Linked DNA regions of Caenorhabditis elegans. The protein of the gene in region 1 purifies or fractionates together with the protein of each later gene. This does not show direct contact. Each region holds a gene or a part of one and is shown on either strand. Other genes may lie near its edges.

Region 1 (6,378 bases):
GTTTCCTTGAGAACAATGTGGTTGAGCAACGCGAACAAATCATCAATGTAAATTTCAGCGGATTCGTTACGACGTGTCTCACCACATCGTTAGTAGGATTTCAGAACACATTAAGTAGAAATCAAGAGACGCGGAATAGTGAAATGAAAATGCGACGTTTACCTTTCTGAGAAGGACGGTTACACCGGATGTACGCGTCGACGCTTTAATCTAATAAGGATAAGGTTCAATGCATGAAAAGGTGTTTACATTTGAAACCTTCTATTTCGGTTAAAAGAACTCGAATGAAATATTGCATCAGAAAATCTATAGTTTAGAAAATGCGTTTATTTTTAGAATAGGACAATTTTACAAGCAAGAGTCATAAATTAATACAAAAATTACAGAAATGTCAAAAAATAACGATATTCACAACCATTCGGATAGAAATTAAAGAGACAATCAAAAGGGTCATTTATTGTAGTTGCTTGATCTCTTTTCCTGTTTTCTTCAGAGCTTCAAGTACATCAGATGCTGGTAAATCAGTTGTAACTGTGATTTTCTTGGTTTCCACGTTAATATCGTCAATTTTGATTTTGTCTTCTGTAGAATAATAGGATTAATTTGATTAACAAAAAGTAAACCAAACCTCCAAGCTTTCCTAGAACTTTTCGCGCAGCATTTGCACAGCCATTGCATGTCATGCCCATTTCGAAAACGTACTGAAAATGTTCAAATTATTTTTTTTTTCACAAATATGAGAATATTTAATTGTAATTTGTAAAAAGTTAAATAATTTACCTGTGTCATGATATTTGTTGAGTCAGAAATCTGGAAACTCTGCTTCTGCTTGCCTGAAAAACGTTAATTTGAATGATTGGAATTAGTACAGTCGAAAAGAAATGAACAAAGAGACGCAAAATGGAGAGACAGTGATAGGGCGACTCGTGGTCAATGCTTTATCTCTGAGAATTTGCATCATTCGACATTTTTTGATCAAGTTTTCAAGAAACTGCGATAATTAAAAAAGGAACTATTGAGATGGGACAACTCGAATGGTTTAAGCAACTTTTAAATGTTTTCCAGTTTTTTTTTTTACTTTTTGGAAAAATTTATGGAAAAATGAGAAAGAAGCTTAGAAACAGGATAAAGACACCAAATGACGTCACAGCTTTGCATTAATGCATCTTCTCTATTTTCTCGGCGTCTCACTCATCTTCTACTTTGAAACGAGCGTTTTTATGGGGTGAGAAAATTATCGATTTTAAGGGTGATCAGTTAAAGAGAAAAATAAAGACGATAACATTTTGATGGAGCCTGTTAAATGTTGTGAATTGGAAGAAATAGAGCCTTATATAAAGAACTGTTTTATCATCTACAGTAGTCCGAAAGCCATTTAGCAGGATATTCGAGGCTGAAGAGAAGTTAACTATATTTAGATAGCATAACTTATTAAAACTCAAAAAGTACAAGGACATTGAAAAAGCGGAAAATACAAATACTCAGTTTAAATTAACTAAAAAACCAAAACCCACATCTTTTTCATGCATGATGCATGGGTATGATTAATTTTATGTCGTCAAGTATGGTGTCGCATACGCAGTCTGCAGTATGTCGTATTATCTGATGCTAGCGCAACTTTCGAAAATTCAAGGTTCTTTTTTCATTTTTATGGAGGATTTCGCAGCGTTTTAACCTTTTTAAATGTGTTTTGTTGAGTTTATGTTTATTAAAACAACTTTGTCACTATTAGAAAATAGATACATCTTTCCATCTCACTGAAAAAACCGTCAGATGGGTTTTAAACTTCTTAAATTGTTCAAACATAACAATTGTGATTCGGAAACGCTTTGAATGTATTTTTATTGCTTAAATTACTTGTGTCCTTCACTATTTTCGATATCCCTCGTTTCAAAATATATTATTTAAAAATATTTCAGAAATGTCCGCAGTTCAACCAGTGAACCCAAAACCGTTCCTCAACAGTCTCACCGGAAAGTTTGTCGTTTGCAAACTGAAGTGGGGAATGGAGTACAAAGGTTTGTATTGACATAATGAAATATTTCACCAAAAGCGCCAAATGTTTAAGGTGTCCTTGTTGCTGTCGACTCCTACATGAATCTGCAGCTGGCTCACGCCGAGGAGTACATTGACGGAAACAGTCAAGGAAATCTCGGAGAGATTCTTATCCGGTTGGTGCATTTTTTAAAAGAAAAAATTCAAGCCGTAGAAACTAAAGTTATTACAATCTTATGCACATTTATATCGTAGTAAATCTTGAAAAATGTTCTAACTTTAGATGCAACAACGTTCTCTACGTGGGAGGCGTGGACGGAGAAAACGAGACGAGTGCCTAAATTCTTCAAACCCTTCTCAACAATTGATCTTATGTTCACAAGTTTTCTGTCTTTTTCGCACATTCTTAATCAATAAATTATAATTATCTTATTAAAGAAGTTTTTAAAATATTTATTAAATGAAAAAAAAAATCATCAGCAAATTATGTAAATTATCAAAGACACAGCGAATCCTCTTTCACCAACGTGGCGCTCATTTCATTTTTGACATCTACTTCTTCAACAACTACAATACCATTCTCAATTGTCTTCAGCTTCTCTTTCTCATTCATCTCCTGATCATCCTCAACTTTAGCCCAATCTTGTAATTCTCCTGATCCGAATAACAAGAATATTGAACCAGAGAAAATATGTGCCAGTGAGCATCCTATGAAGATATTCTGCCACTCCGCAGCGGTTCCCTAAGAATATGGATAGCAAGTAGATTTGTCAAAAATCTCTAAAATAGCTTACGTCTTTTCTGAACATGCTCATGACTGCAGGAGTTGTCAATCTACCAATCATTGCAACAAACATTGAAATTGCAGACATGGTTGCAGTATATTGTGGTGCCAAACTGAGTAGTGATGTGTAAAATCCACTCACAAATGTTCCCATTGAGCTATACCTGAAGACTTTAAATTTGGAAAAGTCGCTGAAAAGTATCGAAACTCACATTAAACAGAAGAAAATAAGGCCAGTTGTTGGATTAGAGCAATCGACAAAGAATGCAAGTAAAATAAGTGAGAAGGAACTCCCAAAACTTGCTGAAATAAATACTATTTCTGGAAACTTGCAAAAATCAACTGACCAACACCATGTGATACCTTTACAGCTTTAGTATTACTGAGAATCTTATTTTCTTTTAATTTATCTATTCCAATACCCCAAACAACTTTGAATATCATATTGAAGATGTTGGGAATTGCAGTAAATGTACCATTCTGAAATGATTACAAATAAAAAATAATATTGAAATGTTGAGTGTCTTACAGCAATAACGCCCAAATGTAGAACTTCTTTGAAATATGAAGGCAAGTAAATTTGAAATAGTGTCATGAAAAGATTGACAAAGAAATGACATTGAAGTTGACCAAGAAATGCAGGAGAAGTTAGAATTTTAGAGTATGGAATCGAACGGGTTTTCTGAAAGTTTCAGAATAACATGATATGATTTTTATTCTAAAACTAGAGTGCTAAAACGTTTTCCTGTATGAGAAGATACTTTAATTTTTTTATTTTGTATTTTGTCTCGAAGTTATTTGGATTTCGAATTATTTACTACGGTAAGTACATTCCCAAAAAAATTTGTTACTCACTTCGGACTTGTGCACTTTCTTTACCACATTTGCCAATAAGTACTCTTTCTCCTTCTTTGTCATCATTTTTACTTTTGCCGGATGACTAGATGCTGTGAAGAACCAGAGAATCGACCATCCAGTAGCAAATATTCCTGGAAATAATTTAATATAATATGAAATCCAGGAAAAGTTGTCTGAATAAAAGTTTGAAGATTATTTAGGTAGAAAAATCCCGACAAAACTTAAGTTTTCAATTCCCTACACATACCAGCAAAATAAAAAGTAGCTGGCCATCCCAAATCAGATGCACAAACCGCTGCTACCATAGGACTTCCTGCAGCTGATGCAATTTGATTACCTAATGTAAAAATTGATAAAGCTGTGCTCTTTTCTGAGCTGGGAAACCAATTCCCAATAATTGCATTGTTCGTAGGAAATACAAAACCCTGGAACTTTCATAAGTATTTATTCTGCAACTGATCACATTGTACCTCTCCTAACCCCATTCCAATTCTTGCCAGGAAAACTGAAAAATATCCGAAATGTGTCGCCAAAAAAGGAGTTATTACGGTAACCAAAATGTAAAGGGCTACAGAAATTTGAAGTACGTGACGTGGAGAAAAGCGCTCAATGAAGAACATTGAAGGGAGTACTGTAATAAGTGATCCCCAAAATGTTCCAGAAAATATAAGATTTTGTTCGTAGCTGTTCCATACCAATTCACCCTGAAATTAGAATATACCAGATTCAAATAAGTAAAACAATTGTACCCCATAATCAACAACAACTTTCTTTTGCCCATCTTCATCCATCAAACCACATTGACCATTAGATCCCAAATTAATCTGAAAACAATACATACAAAATAAATCTGAATTCGTTTCACAAACCTCCTCTATAATAGAAATTTCAGAGACATTTGAATTTCCGGCCAATTTAATTTCATTTTCCACTGCTAAAGCAGTAGAATTAACCATACAAGTCATTGTCAGTGCAAAATGAATTCTCATAAAAGTTGTGCAGAAAAATCCGATCTGGAAAGAAAAAGTTACCAAAATTTTTGGCATATTGGTAAAAGTAATACTCACCATACATAGTAGAACAATATGAAGCCGCCGGGAAAATGGGTGAAATAAAGCTAAAATTGGGTAAAAGGTTTTTGAAGGAAGCATACAATGATTACATACAACTCGGAAGAGTTGTCAATTCATTGGGATATTTGATTGTCGAATTCGACGGGAATAAACTGCTTAATTTTAAAATCAGTTGGAAAAATTTTAGAAAAATTCTCACGAAGGACATTCCTCTTTTCAAAAAACGATCGAATTATGGCAGAAAATACAACTTACGGAATTTTTTTGCCATTTTGAAATGAGATTATAGAATTTATACGAATATTGAGATCAATAGGTTTATAAAAACTTTTTTACGAAATATATAAAATTTTCAACAAAAAACGAGTCAGTCACAACTTTCTCTGACCTGAAACACTCATTCTTCATAAATTCTTCAAATTGATTGTGCTCTTTGTGAGTAAATTCATCATTTTTTGATTATTTAAGAAACTAACGATTATTGTCAATGTAGTTTAAGAAATTTCAGTTCAAATGATAAGAAAATGATTTTTTCAGGTGGCTTGGATGTAGTCGTGTTTTATTATTTTTAAAGATTTTCTTGTATCTTTTGCAGAACAGTTTATTCTGAACCTTAAAAAATCGGGATGTACCTCCTCGTCCTTTCAATTTGTGTAAATCATCGAATGGTTGTAGTGAACAAGTCGATTTTTTCAATTCTCATTTTCTTATCAGCGATCTTTGAACAATGACATGATCAATTCCAAAAGCAGAAACTCTGTCCCGAAAGGAAAACTGAATTGCTTTTTATGATGAGCATTTGTGAACTACTCATGTTATGTAAAGAACGTTGAAAGATATATAATAACTCCCTATATTGTGATCTTTCACAGATGCTGGGAACGGATGGTAGTACCACAAAGATGTGATCGCATAATCGTATGGCCAATTCCACCAATGAATCTTGCATTCAACAGTATTATTCCTGATGATAAACTGACTTTCCACATTGGATTGTTAGAGTTGAAATATACCCATCAAAAAGAGATCGTAAAGAAGTGTGATTTACCAGGATAATTAATCTTGTTTGAAATTAATTTATTGAAAAATAAAGTATGTCGTTCATTGATTCTTGCCGTTTCAACAAAGTACGTAAGCGCACATAGTTTTATAGTTTCATGGTTTCATAATTTCAGCTACATTTCTAGAGCAAACACTTTCCAAAATATTATTGCACACCGTGGGGAACGGCGGAGAAGTGTCTAGATTTTTTGAGGGAAAAAATTTCTTCATACCACAGTAAAAATTAGTTTTTTGCTAATATTTTTTGTGTTTTTTTTTCAAAAATTTCACTCAATAGTTGCCGAAATATCGAATTTCCGATAATTTTCGATCAGCCCTACCCATGCTAGGCATTTCAAATGTTTTTTGAAATACCAATTTTAAAAAGTACAAAAAAACTTTCATGTATATTTTTGATCGATTTCTGGTTCCAGCTTCCACTAGTGTTAATTTCATATCGTCTCTCAGTTTCCAACAAGACCATAAAATTGAGCATCAAGTTACTAAAAGTTGAAATGTGATACTTATCAATTGAACTGAATCAATACATAAACAGTTAATAAACAATGAAAATAATAAACAATTGGAAGCGACACCCACTCAATTCATTCAAACTTATTAGCTGAA
Region 2 (7,591 bases), on another chromosome or scaffold:
TTCGAGCTTTTTCCGGAGAAGCTCGTAAATCTACACAACAAAAGGCCATTTAAAGGGACATATTGCTGTTCGGACAGCACCTGGTTCAAAACTGAGCTCATCCTCGGATCTTGCTTCAAACGCAAAAAGAGCTCGACACTTATAAGTGTCATGAATATTGAACGCCGATTGATCAACAGCACCCTTCGAATGAGCTGGCGCCTGAGCAATCTGAGCAAATGGATCCGCTGTCGACGTGGCACCGAAATCCGCGTCGAAACGTTGACTTGCATCGGTTTTATCGAATTCTCCGAATGCATCGTTGAAGTTTGCAGGGAATCCGTTGGTGGTAGTAGGAGCTGGAGCAGGAGCAGGAGCTGGAGCAGCTGAAGCTGGAGCAGATTTCGCTTCAAATTCCCCAATTTTGCTCCTGGCATGTGTCTGAGCATGAACCAGAAGCTCAAACGAATTTCGATATTCTTCTCGTTTTGCGACAAGTTTCGAATAAACATCAGTCTTATACTTTTCCTTATTCGTCTTTAAAATCTCCGTCTGATTATACGATTTCTCTTTTTCTGTGGATAATTCCAGAGCGGCATCTTCTATAGCTTTTCGAATAGCATCTCGTTTCCTTCGCAGTGCTTCTAGTTCACTTTTTCTCTGCGTTGTCTCCTTGTGAGCCGACTGTTTTTGTAGAAGCTGATGGCCGAGTTCTTGAGATTCGATAGCTGTCTGGAACTTTTTTGGGTAATTTGCATATAGATTAAACGCGTATTACCTTCTGATTAGTCTCTTGTAATTCTTTAATTCTCGCGACTTTCTCGTCTCTCGTAGATCTCATTCTCTCAATAAATCCAGTCACTTCTGCTACTGCTTCTTTGGCTTTTCCAATGTCCACTTCAACATCGATAACCTTCTCATCAAGTGCTTGTAATTGAAATTGCAGCGTTTTTTCTCGTTGCTGACGTTGTGCAAGACGCTCGTTCTCTTGTTGCTTCTGGTTCTGAAATTAGGGATTTAAATTTGGTTTTTTTTTATCATGAGTAAATAAAATTTCTGTGTTCCAAAAGTTCAATTTTCAAAAGAAAAACTCAAAAAATCGCCTAGAATCCACATAAAAATTCCATTTTTTCTGTTCAGGCATCTGTACCTGCATCTGTTTAACTTTCGCCTTCTCCATTTGAACTTTTCTCATTTTCTCGTCCTCCTCTCTGCGTCTCTCCATCTCTAGCCTCCGCTTCTTCTCCTCTTCCTCCCGTTGAGCTTCAATTATTCTCTGTCTTTCTAGTTCAGCTTGCCGCTCAACTTCAGCCTGTCGTTCCTTTTCTTGTCTTTCTCTATTTTTCTTCGCTTCTTCTTCTCTCTCTTTCTTCTCTACTTCTGCTCGTCTTCGTTGCTCCTCTTCTTCAAGAACTCTACGTCGTCTCTCCAGTTCTGCCTGACCTTTAGATAGGTTATCCTGTCGCTTATCTTCAAAAGTTTTCGGAGCTGGTGACTTTTGTGGTGGCTCCGCTCCTGGTTCGAGTTCAGGGGTATTGTTGGCTGATCTTGATGAGATTCCGCACATCCGGACAAGTTCCAGCGGGGTTATTTTTGGAAGCGCGAATCCACTCTGAAAAAAAAATTTTTTTAAGTTTTTCAGCGGAAATTTTTATGGTGTTTCATGATTTTAGGGTATTTTCCGATTTTCGTACAGAAAAATTTGAAATTTTGAGATTTTTCAGCGTTTTAACATGAAATTTTGCTGAAAAAAACAAGCAAAACGTTGAAAAATCCTGTAAAATTCACTGAAAAACTATAATTCGTGAAGAAAATACAACCGTGCGGCAGTGTTGCGAAAACTCGCGCCGCATGTTGCAAAGTGGGAGGAGCGTCCACGTGGCTTGACTTTTTATTTTGAAATTCCAAGTTTTTGACAAATAAAATTGAAAATATTCCTTATTTTTGTTGAAAAAACATGAAAAATACAATATTTTCAGATGGAAAGAACCTTTTTCTACATTTTTATATCAATTTTAGATCAGAAAAGTTGGATTTTCATGGAAAAAGTGCAATTTTTGAATAAAGAGCTTCTGGCCGGTAACAAAACACATACTTTGAACATTTCAATCATATACTGAGAAATCGCATACTCATCCACTGATAGCTTTCCATCCTTATTCACATCTGACAAAAACCAGATATGCGCGAGAACATTGGTAGGAAGGCCTGAAAGCCCGAGAGCACTCCGTCCGACTTGTGAGCTCAGGGAGCCCAGACGTTCCTTGTCGAGAGCATTAAACAATTGAGAATATTTTAATTTATTGTGGTGAGGAATCGCCCAGTTTTCCAGCTGCCGGCCTTCGAAGACATTGCGATCATTATTCAAAGGGCTTCCAGCTGAAATCGAGTTGTGTCTGCTAGATGGAGTTCCGGCAATCGAAACCGGTGCAGATGGGATGTATGACTGCGACATTCGACGATCAATGGCCGGTGGAAGAGTTTGTGAGTAGTCTACACTGCCATGCCGGCTTCCAGGCCAGGTTGGTGGAGCATTTCTGGCGGGAACTACCAGCAGGGAAGGCGGAAGTTGCGGAGGAATCGGAATTCCGGCAAGACAATTCAGAGCAAGTCGCATCGCGATAGAGTATTCACGAATATCGAGCCGGCCGTCTTTATCCAAGTCTGACAGCGCCCAGATCTGGAAATTGTTTGAATAAAAACATTTTTTTTTTTAAAGTTTAATATCAACCTGAGAAAGCACTTGCGTTGGCAGATTGCTGCGCATTAGTGCATTTCGTGCAGTGACCGCATCCATAAACGGTTGTCCTCCGGTTAATTGGCCGAACATTGCGAAATTCTTCTGATATTCGGCATCGGAAACTTCCCAAGGATTTGTCATCTGGAGAACAGGGGATTTTTCGACAAAAAATGGGAATTTCGCAACAAAAAAGGGAAAAAACGAGCCATATTTTTCTAATTTAACTGGAAATTTATGCGAAGAATCAGCGAAAATGATGAAAAAACACATGTTTTTGGGCAAACAATAGATTTTTTTGAGCCGCTCCGCTCGCCAGCTGCGTCGCGGTCGTGGCCGTGGCCTAGGTTCCCTCTCGGCCATTTCTGTAAAAATTGGCCGCGGCGCGGCGCGGCCGGCGAGCGAGGCGGCTCAATAAAATGTAATTTTTTGGCTAAAATTCGTGATTTTTCCCTAATTTAGCTGGAAATTTCTATGTAAACTTCCCACGGATTTGTCAATTGGGGGTTTTTCGATTAAAAACGCTAAAAATGCGAATTTCGCAACAAAAAGAGAAAATGCGCCGAAATTTCTGTAAATTTGGATTCAGGAACTGAGAAATAAGAAGAAATAAGAAAGAGGCCAAGCGCCGCCGAAAGCTTATCGATTTTTGCGTGCCCCAAAAGAGGAGTGGTCCCCGAGAGCGCGCGGCGAGAGATGCAAGAGACGCAGAGAATTTTAAAGGAATCAAAAACCCCTTTTTTATATATTTAAAAAAATCAATGTTTTTTTTTTCATTTAAAACTTTGCATTTTAAGAACAAATTTTAGTTTTAGAGTGAAAAATCTCGTATTCTTGAGTTTTCTCCAAATAATTTTGAGCTCCAATTGATTTTTAAATGTTCTTTCAGCCTTGGTGCATGAATTAATCGGTATAATCGCGGAAAATTGAAGAGAAATTCACTTAAATTTCAACTTATTTATTAATCTCTGGTCATGGGAGAAAAAAAGAAAAATAGAGAAAACGCTAGAAAAACGCGCGCGCTCACCTTGCCGACGCTCGCCCCGCCCACAAAAGCGTGCCTCGTTGCGTTTTCGAATTTAGCAGGGCAGTTGGTTATTATTTCCATTTTCTATCTGTTTCAGGTTCGCAGTTTGTTTTTTGCATTGAATTCTTGATATTTTGAGTTTTACGTTGTATTCTGAAGTATTTCCGTCAGAATTTGTGTTTAAAAATCGTAATTCTCAGGGTTTTCCCGCTGAAATTGAATTTTTCGTCAAAAATCATTTTTTTTAGTGAATCCCAATGTCGTATGGTGACGGGCTCTCCGGAGCCGAGTACCTGGCCTCAATCTATGGTACTGAGAAGGATAAAGTCAATTGCTCGTTTTTCTTCAAGGTTTGTTGTGGATTTCTGTGAAAAAATTCAATAATTAAATAATTTTTGCAGACAGGAGCCTGCCGCCACGGAGACAAATGCTCCAGAGCCCATCATACACCGACATTCTCGCCAACAGTTGTGCTCAAAAACTTCTACCACAATCCGGTAGTGGATGTCCGTCAGGCGGATGCTTTCGATAAAGTCGGCAAGCGGAATGATCAGGAACAGCGCTATTTTGACGATTTCTACGAGGAGGTTTTTGTGGAGATGGAGCGAAAATATGGAGAAGTGGAGGAGATCAACGTTTGTGAGAATATCGGAGAACACATGGTCGGAAACGTATACGTCAAATTTATGAAGGAAGAGGACGCCGAGAAAGCAAAGAATGATTTGAATAATCGATGGTGCGTAAGCTGAAGCTGCTGTGTTGATAGGGCTCAAGCTGAGCTCAAGTGCTGTGAAGAGAACGTGCCACTGTACTTTGCCCATCGGAAGGGCATTGAAATGGAGATATACCTGGCACAGGGGCCATCTGAGCACTTTGGCGAGCTAGCCCGTATCATTTTTGCTAATTTAGCTGGAAATTTGTGCAAGAAATCTGCGAAAATGATGAGAAATCACAAATTCTGAGCCGCTCCCGTCGGCCATTTCGTTAAAATGGACCGCGACGCAGCTGGCGAGCGGGGCGGCTCAAAACATTTAATTTTTTGACCAGAAATCGTGATTTTCCATCTTTTTTCATGTCAACTGCAAAAATGATGGAAAAATCACTAAATCTGGGGCAAAATATAAATTTTTTTGAGCCGCTCCGCATGCCAGTTGCGTCGCGGTCATGGCCGAGGTTCCCTCTCGGCCACCTCTGTAAAATGGACCGCGACGCAGATGGTGAGCGGAGCGGCTCAAAATTTTTATTTTTTGCCCAGAAATCTTGATTTTCCATGTTTTTTTGCTAAATTAGCTGGAAATTTGCACCAAGAATCAGCGAAAATGATGAAAAAACACAAATTCTGGGGCAAAAAAGTATATTTTTTGTCCAGAAATCGTGATTTTTCCGTCTTTTTCCTGATTTAGCTGGAAATTTTTATGCTAAATGCAAAAATTATGAAAATTTTCTGTAAAATTATCGATTTTTAAAATATTTTTCGCTTTCAGGTTCAACGGACAACCAATCTACGCAGAGTTGTGCCCTGTCACCGACTTCCGCGAGTCTAGATGCCGTCAACACGAAGTTACAACCTGCTCGAAAGGAGGATTCTGCAATTTCATGCACTTGAAGGCAATTTCCGCCGAACTTGGAGATCGTCTGTATGGTAGACGTGGACGACGAGCCGACGCAGCTGGACATTATCCATCACAACGTGGAGGTTCCGGAGGCGGCGGTGGAGGTGGTGGCGGCGGTGGCTATGGAAGCGGTGGAGGATGGGGTGGCGGCGGTGGCGGCAGAGATCGTGATCGTGGAGGATGGGGTGGAGGCGGCGGAGGTCGTGGATATGGAGGTGGCGGTGGCGGTGGAGGCTACGGATATGGAGGTGGAGGCGGTGGAAGACGCCGCAGTCGAAGCCGTGATCGAAGACGATATTAATCTCTCTTGTTCTTTTTTTTTTACCTTTTTTCTTCTGTATCTTATCTCATATAATTCCAATAATTCTGCTCTTTTTTCTCTATCTCTCTCTTTTTTATTGCAAAAAAAACCATTTTTATTTCCTTCTTTTTGTAGTTTTTTCGCCAAAAAATGGTTCTGTTCAGCCATCTTTTTTACCTATTCATTTAATTTTCTACAAATCCACCTGCAAACTGCTCAGAAATCCCAGATGAACACGAATTTTCCACACAATCGGAAAAGAACGCTCTACGTCGGAGGTTTCACCGAGGATGTCACTGAAAAAGTGTTGATGGCCGCGTTCATTCCGTTTGGAGACGTCGTTGCCATCTCGATTCCGATGGATTACGAGTCGGGAAAGCATCGTGGCTTCGGATTCGTCGAATTCGATATGGCTGAGGATGCGGCGATGGCGATTGATAATATGAACGAGAGCGAGCTGTTCGGAAAGACTATTCGGTTAGGGATTGGCTCTGGAAACCAAGAAAATAGTCCTAAATAAAGTGGAATTCTTGCGTAGTCTACTACGTAAAGTGAAACTCCAGCGCAAATCGCAGTTTTTCGTAGTTTGACACCAGGAAATTTAAATTAATTTTCAATTTTAAACGTAGCAACGATGCTCCGAAATAACGCACGCGCATGTTATTTCGGAGCATCTTTTAAAATTAAGATTTAATTTTAATTTTGTTTTCAAAATTTTCCTAGTTTTCAGGTTTAATCTTTGTGATTTTTCATATTTTTTTAAAGATATTTTTACAAGTTTTTCAATAAAACCTGTGAAAAAAACATTTTTTATAATTTTAAAATTGCTATTTTCAGTGTCAACTTTGCTCGTCCACCAAAAGCCACCGAACGCTCACAGAAACCTGTCTGGGCAGACGACGAATGGCTCAAAAAGTATGGAAGAGGTGGAGAAGCTGCTGCGGAAGAAGACGGAGACGCTGAAAAAGCCGCCACGTCATCGTCGTCAGCCTCGACGAAGCTTCCACGTGTCTATCTGGGAGTGAAGATTGGAATTCGATATATTGGACGAATAGTGATCGAGTTAAGAACTGACGTTACACCGAAAACTGCCGAAAACTTCAGATGTTTGTGCACAGGAGAACGAGGATTCGGTTATGAAGGATCGATATTTCATCGGATTATTCCAAAATTTATGCTTCAAGGCGGTGACTTTACGAAAGGAGACGGAACCGGCGGGAAGTCGATCTATGGAACGAAATTTGATGATGAGAATTTCACGGTTAGGCACAAATTTTGATGAGCGGTATACTAGAAAAAATACTGTAAAAAATCGCATTTTCACAACGTTATTTGGTAATTATGCCAATAATTCGTGCTAAACATCAAATTTTCTGTAGAAAATGTGCCAAAATATGCGAAATTTTTGAAAAAATAACGAAACGAGATAAAAAATTTATTGATTTTTGGCAAAAAAAAAATCAATAGTTCTATTCAAATGCATCTCGTTTCAGAAGAAGAACGATCTGAAATTGTTCTCTATTTTATATCATGACACTACTACCAAAATTTATTTATCGATCCTTAAAATTTGCAAAAAATTTTGTTGCACAGAAAGTGGGACGGAGCTACGCAAAATTTTTCTCTTCTTTTCGAATTGGATAACATTTTCATTCGAAAAATCGAGAAAAATACAAGTAAAATTGAAATTATATTGCGGGGAAATACCTCATGCGGCAGTGTTGTGAAGCTACGCTCCGCCCCACTTTCTGTGCGACAAATTTTTTTGCAAAATTCAAGGATCGATAACCAAATTTACAGTACCTCTAGAAATTCCTGAAGAACTCCAAATTTGAATGGGGCCCATTGCAAAATTGTATTGTGCTTTGATAAAATAAAATCCAACGCTGCAATCTTCTCAAGAAAAGGGCTCGCCGGATCCATGGCTCTGAGGG

The links. Proteins that work in one complex are often made in the same cells at the same time.
Region 2: the proteins of snr-5 (region 1) and uaf-2 fractionate together in Caenorhabditis elegans (co-fractionation; one large-scale study listed by BioGRID). This does not show direct contact.

The regions. Positions count from the first base shown.
Region 1 is NC_003281.10:7,860,151-7,866,528, forward strand, and holds snr-5 (putative small nuclear ribonucleoprotein F), read left to right. Parts: upstream 1-1,919; 5' UTR 1,920-1,921; coding exon 1,922-2,018; intron 2,019-2,068; coding exon 2,069-2,171; intron 2,172-2,278; coding exon 2,279-2,336; 3' UTR 2,337-2,424; downstream 2,425-6,378. Other genes in the region: cuc-1 (Copper transport protein ATOX1), read right to left, coding at 455-582, 629-701, 781-789; putative transporter slc-17.3, read right to left, coding at 2,492-2,737, 2,790-2,943, 2,992-3,082, 3,127-3,259, 3,309-3,461, 3,635-3,768, 3,885-4,062, 4,108-4,341 and 4 more.
Region 2 is NC_003282.8:17,114,953-17,122,543, reverse strand, and holds uaf-2 (Splicing factor U2AF 35 kDa subunit), read left to right. Parts: upstream 1-3,991; 5' UTR 3,992-4,000; coding exon 4,001-4,093; intron 4,094-4,144; coding exon 4,145-4,479; intron 4,480-4,523; exon of another isoform or gene 4,524-4,676; intron 4,677-5,227; coding exon 5,228-5,657; 3' UTR 5,658-5,773; downstream 5,774-7,591. Other genes in the region: itsn-1 (Intersectin-1), read right to left, coding at 81-717, 758-982, 1,130-1,591, 2,075-2,659, 2,711-2,860; Y116A8C.33 (uncharacterized protein), read right to left, coding at 7,127-7,162, 7,461-7,591; cyn-13 (Peptidyl-prolyl cis-trans isomerase E), read left to right, coding at 5,887-6,134, 6,495-6,918.